Arabidopsis thaliana: one gene and its partner. The protein of the gene in region 2 interacts with the protein of the main gene of each other region in a biochemical or structural test. Each region holds a gene or a part of one and is shown on either strand. Other genes may lie near its edges.

Region 1 (4,786 bases), on a different chromosome or scaffold from region 2:
TCTTCTTCCAAGCTCTAATGGTTATGAAGTTATGAGAAATATAAAAACAGAGAAACAGAATCTCTCACCTATCATAAACGGAAAGGTAATCCAACCTCCACCACGGCGTTTGGTGCTTGAATCTGCTGATATCGCTGTTTCTGCATCGCCAGTAACTGAACTAGCCATGTCTCAAAATCAAGCAGAAATCTTTCACTATTTTTGTCAACAATGGCCTGAAATTCTGAAACATATATACAGTATAAGTAATAATACAGCAATGATGACTTTCTCGGGTCCACGATATTTTATTCTCCATGCGCAGCAGCTTCAAATAAAGAAACATTAAGAAAGTAAAACAAAAACTCAAAGGTTTCCGTTGATGCAAGTTGAGCCATCACTGTCTGCTTCGTAACAGCCTGTGTGAAGACAACATTATTTCCAACCCAACGTTTTAGAAGTCAACTCTAAATTGTCAGACAAAGGATATTACAATATTACTAAAGAAAGACACATTTGTGCCTAATTATTGCTAAGGAATTGACCATTTCTACTTCAATAATGCAAGCTACCTAAAGCCAATCCCACTAAAATCTATTGAAAGTCATTGAATGAGAATAGACAACTCACGGCGACAGCATTGACTCTGGCTCTAGCTCTATAATGTCTCCCACAAATATTGAGGCTCTGTACATTACAAAATTATATTCTCTCTTCTCTTTGTTTACTAGGGAAGACTCAAGAGTATGTGAAGTAAAAAAGTCTATAGATATTCTTTAATAACTGGAGTACTTTACATTGGAGCTACACTTAATCACTAGCAGTAAATAACATGAACAAACAAATAAAAGTTACAAGATTACATATGTGGAAGAAGTACATGAATAAAAGAACAGGCAAAGATACTAAGTAGCCATTCGGATGGTTATTGGGTAATACCAGGCATTCACGGGGCTGCTGCACTTCTAACCGTATGTTGGATTGAGTGCTATGGCTTCTTGGTAGATCATCTCTTTTATCTGTTCCTCATCCAGAGGCTGTTGTTCGAACTCAAAAGAGAATGGCTTTTGACAGATTGGCTCATCATTCGGGTCGTGCAATTTAGCAAGGTACTGGTGATTCAGAGCTTGTTCAACTGCACAAGATGGTATTTTCAGTTTTTAATCAAAACATAGTGATGGTAAGAAAAACCAACAGAGAACATGTATGAAACTTACCAGTGATTCTTCTGTTGGGGTCAAACGTCAACATTCTGTCAACAAGATCAATGGCCATTGGGTTAACATGAGAGAAAAGTTTAGCTAAGGGCTGACGTGGGAAGTTGGGAAGTTGCCGGATGTATCTTTTCGCATCCTCATTGTGAGTAAAACCGAGATCAGATTCTGTCGGTGTGCCAAGCAACTGCAAGATTCAAACAAATTCATCACATATTCCGTGAAAAGGCAGAATCTTTAAACCATGCTAAAATTACATAACTCTCTAAAATATTTTACCTCTGTCAATAAGCGCATTTGATGAACATGGTCTTTACCAGGGAACAAAGGCTTTCTATTCATAAGCTCCATAAAGATACAACCAACAGACCAAACATCAATAGCAGCTGTGTAATCTGAAGAGTTCAACAGAAGCTCAGGTGCTCTATACCATCTCGTAACAACATACTCAGTCATAAAATCATTCTCTGAAGTAGGTCTAGCAAGACCGAAATCACAAATCTTTAAATCGCAATTCGCGTTCAACAGAAGATTGCTCGGCTTTAAATCCCTATGAATAATGTTAGCTGAGTGGATATACTTCAGTCCTCGAAGTAGCTGGTACAAGAAGTACTGTTTCCATGACAACAAAAACACCAAATCAAGTATCAGTTTCATGTCTCTTCTATCAAATATAAATCCCAGAAAAAAGCCAAGAACAGTTTTTAGTTTACCTGACAGTGTTCTTCTGATAAACTCTGGTTAGATCTGATGATTTGATGAAGATCAGTATCCATTAATTCAGTAGAGATATAAACATCACTGAACTGTCTTCTTAGTGGTGGTGGAACAACATCTCTTATAGCTATAATCTGTTGCAATACCAAATCAAAAAACCCTAATCATGATTTATTTACTAATTTCTACAGATATTTCACAAAATCGAACAAAAACACTAACGTTTTCATGATCAAGATGACGAAGAAGCTTGATCTCACGAAGCGTACGCTTAGCATCCATATGATTATCAAAAGCATTAGCTATCTTCTTCATCGCTACTAGCTCGTTCGTCTCCGTATCCAACACAGAGCTTCACAAAATCAAAATCCAGAAATTAAAAACTCCGATCTCAAAGAATAAAACTTAAGAAAAAGCTCAGAGAAGGAAACATACCAAACGATTCCATAAGCTCCACGACCAATTGGTATAATCGGAGGACGATACTTAGATGTGATCTCGAATAAACTACCGAAGATATCGTAACTTATGAACTGTCCTCCGTGAGTTTCCACCGCCGGAAAATCCGTGTATTGGCCACCGCCGGTGTTCATTTCTCTCTCAATTGATCAAAGTCGAGATTCAGTGGTTGCTTTGAGGTTTGAAGTAGTGAATCTGAAGGTATTTGTATGGTTTTATATAACAGTCGGAGTCAACAGAGAGACTGAGATTGAGGATTGAGCAGAGATGAGTTTTCGCGGTAATTGCGAGGAAGAAGATGAAGAAGAAGAAGAAGAGAGAAGAGGGAAAGGCAGAGAAGATCGTGTGGTTGAGATTAGAGCCGCCTCAAATCGACGGTTTCTGTTCGTTGTTGACTTCGTCAACGTTCTTCCTCTTCCTAACGTCCTTTACGGTTCTGTATCTATCTATCTGCCATAGTTAAATAATGACAATAATAGTGTGGGGATTTTAGTAATTGTAATCTTAATTGGATCATATTCGTTTTAATACGATCAATAAATTAATTAATATACTCGTTTTATTCGTTCAGGAATTAAAATTTTGTATTGTTTTACGTTACGTAAAATTATATAACACTCGTTTTAAGTATTGTATTTTATGCGATTAATTTATTATAAGTATTGAATATCATGTGTGGTTTACGATGGTTAATAATATTATTATTATATAGACTAAATTAGTTTAAAAACAAAAGATACTATTCAATTATGATTTTTAAGTAAGCTATTTTCGATCAGAATTTTTTTATTCTCTTCTTTCTCTAAAATTTTGAGAAAAAGAAAAAATTCTTTGTTTCGTATGCCTTCCCGTATGTTTGTGAGGTTGTGTTCGGACATGGTCCAACTTTTTGTTTCAATACCGTACGGTGAGTTCTAGTTATAGTTACCGGTAAATCCGGTTTTATCGTCGCCGTTCTTTGGTATTTTGCCTTTATTTGTCTTTATTTCTAATAAACTTATTAAGTTTCTTCATTACGAAGAAAAAGTGGAAGTTTAAGAGTTTCGGCTTCATAAGCCTTGTCGTTCAAATTTTGTAGTAGTTTCACTTGATGGGCATGGCGACGTTAAGTCTCACCGGAAAATCTTTTTGGTTGCTTACGTCATTGTGATGCTTCATGCTACTTTGGAATGGTGGACGCTTTCCTTCATATGAAAGAAAGTTTCGTTCGTTTGTTAAATCTGAGTTTAATTTCGTTTGGAAGAGGAAGACTAGATGTGCAATTTCTTTAGAGGGTCTTCAGTGCTCTACTTGAAGCTTCTGGTTTTGCGGAGTGAACGAACTTTCGGTGGGTAGGCGTTCTTCGATCTCAGAAAACATGCCGGCAGTGGTTGGCATTCTCGACAAACACGTTCTTCTCGTCACGTGTCTGTGATTTCCTCATGAGGCGACACATGTCTCTGTGTTGTATGGCTTTCTTATCCCTTCCTCGATGGGTTACTATATTGGGCTCGGTTTGACTTTTGTTGTTGGACTTTTGTTTTAAGAAGGCTTTGTTTTAAGAAGAAAGAGATAGCAAAATAGGCAAAATCTCTATTTGCGCAAATTGGTTTTGGAGTTGAGAAGCGGATCTTTGTGGTTACTTTTCGTTAGGATATCTGTGTAAGAGGGCCTTGCAGAAGTTTTGGATTGATTGGATTGCACTCATGGCTCCATCAGATCGCGTGTTAAGTGTAAAGGTTCCCCGAATGGGGATTAAGTGAGAGATTCAGTTTCTCCCTTTTTAGTATCTTATTTTCTTTTGAGATTTCTGTAAGATTTACTCTTTCAATAGTTCATTGTTAGTTTACAAATTTGATTCGTCTTTTACCGACCAACATATACCATTTCATTTCCAATGAAAGCAGACAAGATAAAGCAGAACTTGCAGATTATGAAAATGTTCAATTCTGAGTAGATGAAAATTAAAGGAGATTATCTATATGTGTTTGATAATTTAATATCGTAATGCTCATTAGCCTATCGAATTCTGTAAGTGGAGTTTTCCACTATTGTAACACTTTGTTGTTATATATCAAAGCCAACACTTATGAAGAAAAAAAAGTAAGCTATTTTCGAGTTCGAACAAGATATTAATATTTAGTTTACAAATTCCTCTAAATAATCGTATGCGCTATATAATTTATGTTCCAACATTATCGTTAAAAATATTGATTTTGTTATGAAATTTATTTAAGTTAGAGTTCTATTTATGTTAAGGAATAACGATGCATCGTTAAACTTCACTGGATTATAACCTTCTAAAACTATTCCAAAGTCATCTAAAAGTGATTTCAAATACTTAACCTTATCAAAACAATGATTGTTTAAATTAGTTCTAAACTTTAAATCGAGTACTTCCTAGATGGACAAACGAAAATCATTAGGTACGGGCAAAA
Region 2 (4,551 bases):
ATGCTTGAGAAACGCGCATTACCTCAAAGACCGACTTCGTGAAGCTGGGATTAGCGCCATGCTTAATGAGCTTAGCAGCACTGTGGTCTTTGAACGGCCTAAAGATGAAGAGTTTGTTAGAAGGTGGCAGCTTGCTTGCCAAGGTGATATAGCTCATGTGGTGGTTATGCCAAGTGTTACAATCGAGAAGCTTGATAATTTCCTGAAAGACCTTGTCAAACACAGATTGATCTGGTACGAGGATGGATCTCAGCCTCCTTGCCTTGCATCGGAGGTAGGAACCAACAACTGCATCTGTCCAGCTCACAAGTGACGGCACCATTTCTCATTTGTTGGTATTGTTGTTTTCTAGTAAGCCACATCTAGTTTAAATTCCTCATCACTGTATTCCTGAACTTGGTTTCAATCATCGTAAAATTTTGTCAGTTTCTCTTATTTACAAGTTAAGGTTTCAAACAGTGTTTACAATTTGTAGCTCAATCTGGAGCATGATCAACCTTCACTTCGTCGTTCGCAATCGTTTACCGAGTTTTAGCATTATCGTAACAGCAAGTATGTGCCTTAAGCCGCTGATTTAGCTGCGTGTTTGATGATCGGTGCTTAATGCCTAGGAAAAGTGCTTACTATAAAGATTTTTGGGTAGTATATTACAATGGATACTACTTGTAAAGATAGACCGATGTCGCCATGAACATATCTGCATAGACGCTAACAACACAAAAGCCATTATACATGGATACATACATACTTTTTACATACATCAAATATTGCAGCCCGAAATGAATATAACGTATTTATAACTCAGCAAACATATATAGGTGACACGAACTCAGCCTCTCTTGGTGAAATCCATGTAGCTTGGGAGCGATGGCTGCCCGTTTGTACTCATCTGTTGGTTCGTTTTGTTCCCAAACTGATTCATTGCCGATTGCTGAGATGAGAATTGAGCACGGTTGTAAGAATTTCCATTCCCCTGAGGAATTTCTCCAGCTACCACCTTAAGTCGGTTCAGTTCATCCCGCAGCGCTTCATTCAAAGCTGAAAATTACACCGAACAATATATATCGTAATGAGGACTTTGGTTTACATATTGAGAACGACCCAATGAAAAAGAAAATGGCTTTACCATCCCTAAGTTCAGCTTGTTGCTCTAAAGCTTGAAGCCGCATTTTGAGGTGTTTATTTTCAGTGTTCAGCTCTGATGTTCCTCTCTACACAATATAAGAAAAAGCACAGATTAGAGATGCAAGAGACATGAATCATTTTATCTTACTCCTATGTTGCTTTTATCACTAAAGTGGAAACAAAACTTACACTCTTGCAAGTGTATACATTACACTATTGACATATCTCACATGTTGATTAATCAGCTAAATTAACATGAGAATAACATATCTTATAACACTGCATCTATACTTGTTCCTAGTAGCAAACACATGTCCTCTCTATACACCAAGAAGCAATCTTAAACACACTAAGCAACAATACAAGCTTACAAGCTGCCAAGCTCAAATCAAGATATCAGAAATAGTTCCTTAGAGTAATCTTCACTAATCACATCAGCTTCGTAAAACACAAAGCTTTAAAGATATTTAGTAATCTACTCACCAACCTTCACTAGTCACACCAATTGCATAAACACAATGACAAAGTAATACAAAACATTACCTGTAACATAGTGACTTGAGCAGACAATGTAGTAGCTTCATTCTGAAGTGTCTGAACCTTCCTCTCTAACTCACCAGTATACCTAATCTTCCTCTCTTTCGACCTCGCCGCAGATTGTCTATTCGCTAAAATCCTATCAAAAACCCATCACAAAACACTATTTCAAACCTCAATCAAATCACAAAAAAGTTACAAGCTTTAAGTAAAAAACAACACTAAATTATATACCTTTTAGCTCTTTTAGGATCAAGCAAAGCAAGCTCAGCAAGTCTATCACCACCCATACCCATATTCTTCTTCCCACTATCTTTACCACTCACAGAAGCTAAAATCGATTCGATATTAAACGACGCCGAACTCATCTCTCCATCCATAGAATTACTCCTGCTATGATGATGATTCCCTTTCTTCTTCTCTCCTGAACTTGTAGCTATAAACTTCTCCTCAGTAACACCCAAATCATCGAAGAAATCGGAATCAACCGAGAAGCTACGAACATGGCGACCGAATCTAGCTTCGGGTTTTGGAGGAAGAGAATTAGGAGGAACAACACCGTTCGATGAGGTTTCTTCCGAATCAACGGACATGGGAGAAGCTTGCGGTTGTTGTTGTGATTGTTGTGGTGGTGGTGGAGCGTTGAGGAAGTCTAGAGAAGAGAAATCGATATCGGAAGGATCGAATAAGAGGAGATCGTCGATTGATTCGCCGGAGAAGAAGGTTTCAGAGCGAGCTCGACGGTGATGAGAGATACGTTGACGTGGAGCTTCAGGCATATGTTCTATTTCACTGAGAATCGTTTGATTTGGTCCTCTTCCTCCTCCTTCCATTGATTTTTTTTTTTCCCGGCGGCGAGGTTTTCGCAAACCTACCGAGTTTATTACAGAGAAATGTGAAAGTACAAAAGAAATTTTGTCGAGAGGGGCAGGTAAGTACTAAGTAGGACCAAAGTGATGTGTTTGGTCTGAAAACCTATATTCTCGATATTTACCAACTTATTTACTTTTAAAAAAACAATATATATAAATAAATAATACTAATAATCTTATCCGGTTCTCACATTGAATAATGTTTCGGTTTACTTCAACAGATTATATTTTGTACATTGTAACATGTGTCTACAAGGATCAAAAGTTGAAGGAATTATGTAACTAATCGAATATAAAGACACAAGAACTTCAATTAACAACCGCTCATGATTACTGCTAATATTCAGTAATTCTAAAACGGGAAATCCCAAAAAAAAAAAAAAAAATCTATTTGATCCATGATCAATGATCCGGTGAACCGATTAAACGGGTTGGATGATTGTTTACGAAATCTATTTGATTTTGAAAATATTTAAAGTTTTGTTTTATATCAGTTATGTATAAAACCTTTTCAATTCTTTTCAAGCGGCCACATACGAGCCAACATACCTTTCTCGTCTTTTATGAATATTTAGTCTCTTAAGAATTTCTTTTTTCTTTTTGTCATTAGAAATATAGATTATATTGGTGATACAAGATCGGAATACAATAGCCGGCAAGGTATTCAAACCTTCCAGAAACTTAAGCCGGCGAATATATGTAGACTTCCAGAGACAATGATCAAACCAAATGGGAAAACCCCAAACATACAAATACACTAATCTGAACCAATCTTCCTAGACTCATAGCACAAAAAAAACAAAAAAAATTTACAAAGTCTAAATCAAGATAAAAACAAACAGATGTGGAGAGTCTTTTTTCTTTATTAGTTTATTTTTATCATTGGTGATTTTTTATTATTTTAATATATATTTTTAACTTTTAGTTGGATTTAAAATTTTTGATTACATTACTGTTCTCGTTAGATTTCAATTTTTTTGTTAAACATGACACACTCATTTTTATTTTTCATTTATAAAACTATATAATCTCTATAAATACATAATATAAAAATATCAATTGATTTGCGGTTCGACTCGATGGTCCGGAAGGTAGTCCAGTTTGCCTTCTGGATGATGTTTAAAAACATTGATATTATTCCTACCCTTATCTATAAATAGTGACTTTGATTGCTAGCAAATGAAAAAAATAGTGTTTTGATCTAATTGAATGGAAATAAGCAGCAATTGTTTGGAAACACTTTTTTTTTATTATAAAAAAAATTAAGAAGGTGGATATGTTGTAGAAGTGCGTATAACCAAATCCATTAAAAGATGTTTACCAAACATAAAATACTATCTACTATTGTGGTGCATGCTGTACCGCGATATAATAACAAAAGTAAATATACATGATCAAAAAGTAAAATTTATATGTAATTGTTTAAGTATTGGGATGAAACCATAGTTTCTTAGCCATTTCAAGACCTTAGTCTTAAATCAGAATATGATCAATGTTATTGAAAGCAATTTTATCCAACAATTGAAATATTCATTTGTCTCAATAATGTTCAATAATAGATAACAAAAATTCTACATCAATACACAACATGAAAAAAACGGACAACGCAAAGAAAGTTCAGACGCGTGTTAACCGCCAAATCAGATCAGCAGTTTCCGTTTTCTTTCTTTAGAATCCAATGAGCCAGAATAAACGCTCAAGCTTTCTCATAATACAACATTCTTCAGACTATACTTGGAGGATCTCCAGACCAGCTACAAGCGGCACGCGACCACCGAGTTCTGATACAATCCACCAGTGGTGCATGTTGGACCGGTTTTGGCTGATTCACTTCTGAGTCTTTCTCAGAGCTGCTCGGCGGCAGTGCACATGTCATGTACTCTTCTGGTGTCCATTTTGGAGGAACCGATACGTTTAGTTTTGTCAGCCTTGGCCTTTGCATAGGAACCATCCCACCTTCCACAGCCATTGCTTGACCACCACCGTTTATATCGGACTTGGCAATTCCGTTGAAGTG

What was found. The genes of interacting proteins can lie anywhere in the genome.
Region 1: the proteins of VIP1 (region 2) and MPK3 form a complex in vitro, tested with the Arabidopsis thaliana proteins (one study listed by BioGRID).

The regions. Positions count from the first base shown.
Region 1 is NC_003074.8:16,754,635-16,759,420, reverse strand, and holds MPK3 (mitogen-activated protein kinase 3), read right to left. Parts: upstream 2,851-4,786; 5' UTR 2,829-2,850; coding exon of another isoform or gene 2,637-2,828; 5' UTR 2,504-2,636; coding exon 2,346-2,503; intron 2,263-2,345; coding exon 2,133-2,262; intron 2,045-2,132; coding exon 1,907-2,044; intron 1,806-1,906; coding exon 1,473-1,805; intron 1,381-1,472; coding exon 1,197-1,380; intron 1,115-1,196; coding exon 945-1,114; 3' UTR 547-944; downstream 1-546. Other genes in the region: NAXT1 (nitrate excretion transporter1), read right to left, coding at 69-168; AT3G45645 (uncharacterized protein), read left to right, coding at 2,637-2,828. UniProt on the Arabidopsis thaliana protein: Involved in oxidative stress-mediated signaling cascade (such as ozone). Involved in the innate immune MAP kinase signaling cascade (MEKK1, MKK4/MKK5 and MPK3/MPK6) downstream of bacterial flagellin receptor FLS2.
Region 2 is NC_003070.9:16,482,296-16,486,846, reverse strand, and holds VIP1 (VIRE2-interacting protein 1), read right to left. Parts: upstream 2,617-4,551; 5' UTR 2,496-2,616; coding exon 1,897-2,495; intron 1,802-1,896; coding exon 1,669-1,801; intron 1,212-1,668; coding exon 1,127-1,211; intron 1,039-1,126; coding exon 830-1,038; 3' UTR 520-829; downstream 1-519. Other genes in the region: EMB1075 (Pyridoxal phosphate (PLP)-dependent transferases superfamily protein), read left to right, coding at 1-313; AT1G43690 (ubiquitin interaction motif-containing protein), read right to left, coding at 4,258-4,551. UniProt on the Arabidopsis thaliana protein: Transcription activator that binds specifically to the VIP1 response elements (VREs) DNA sequence 5'-ACNGCT-3' found in some stress genes (e.g. TRX8 and MYB44), when phosphorylated/activated by MPK3.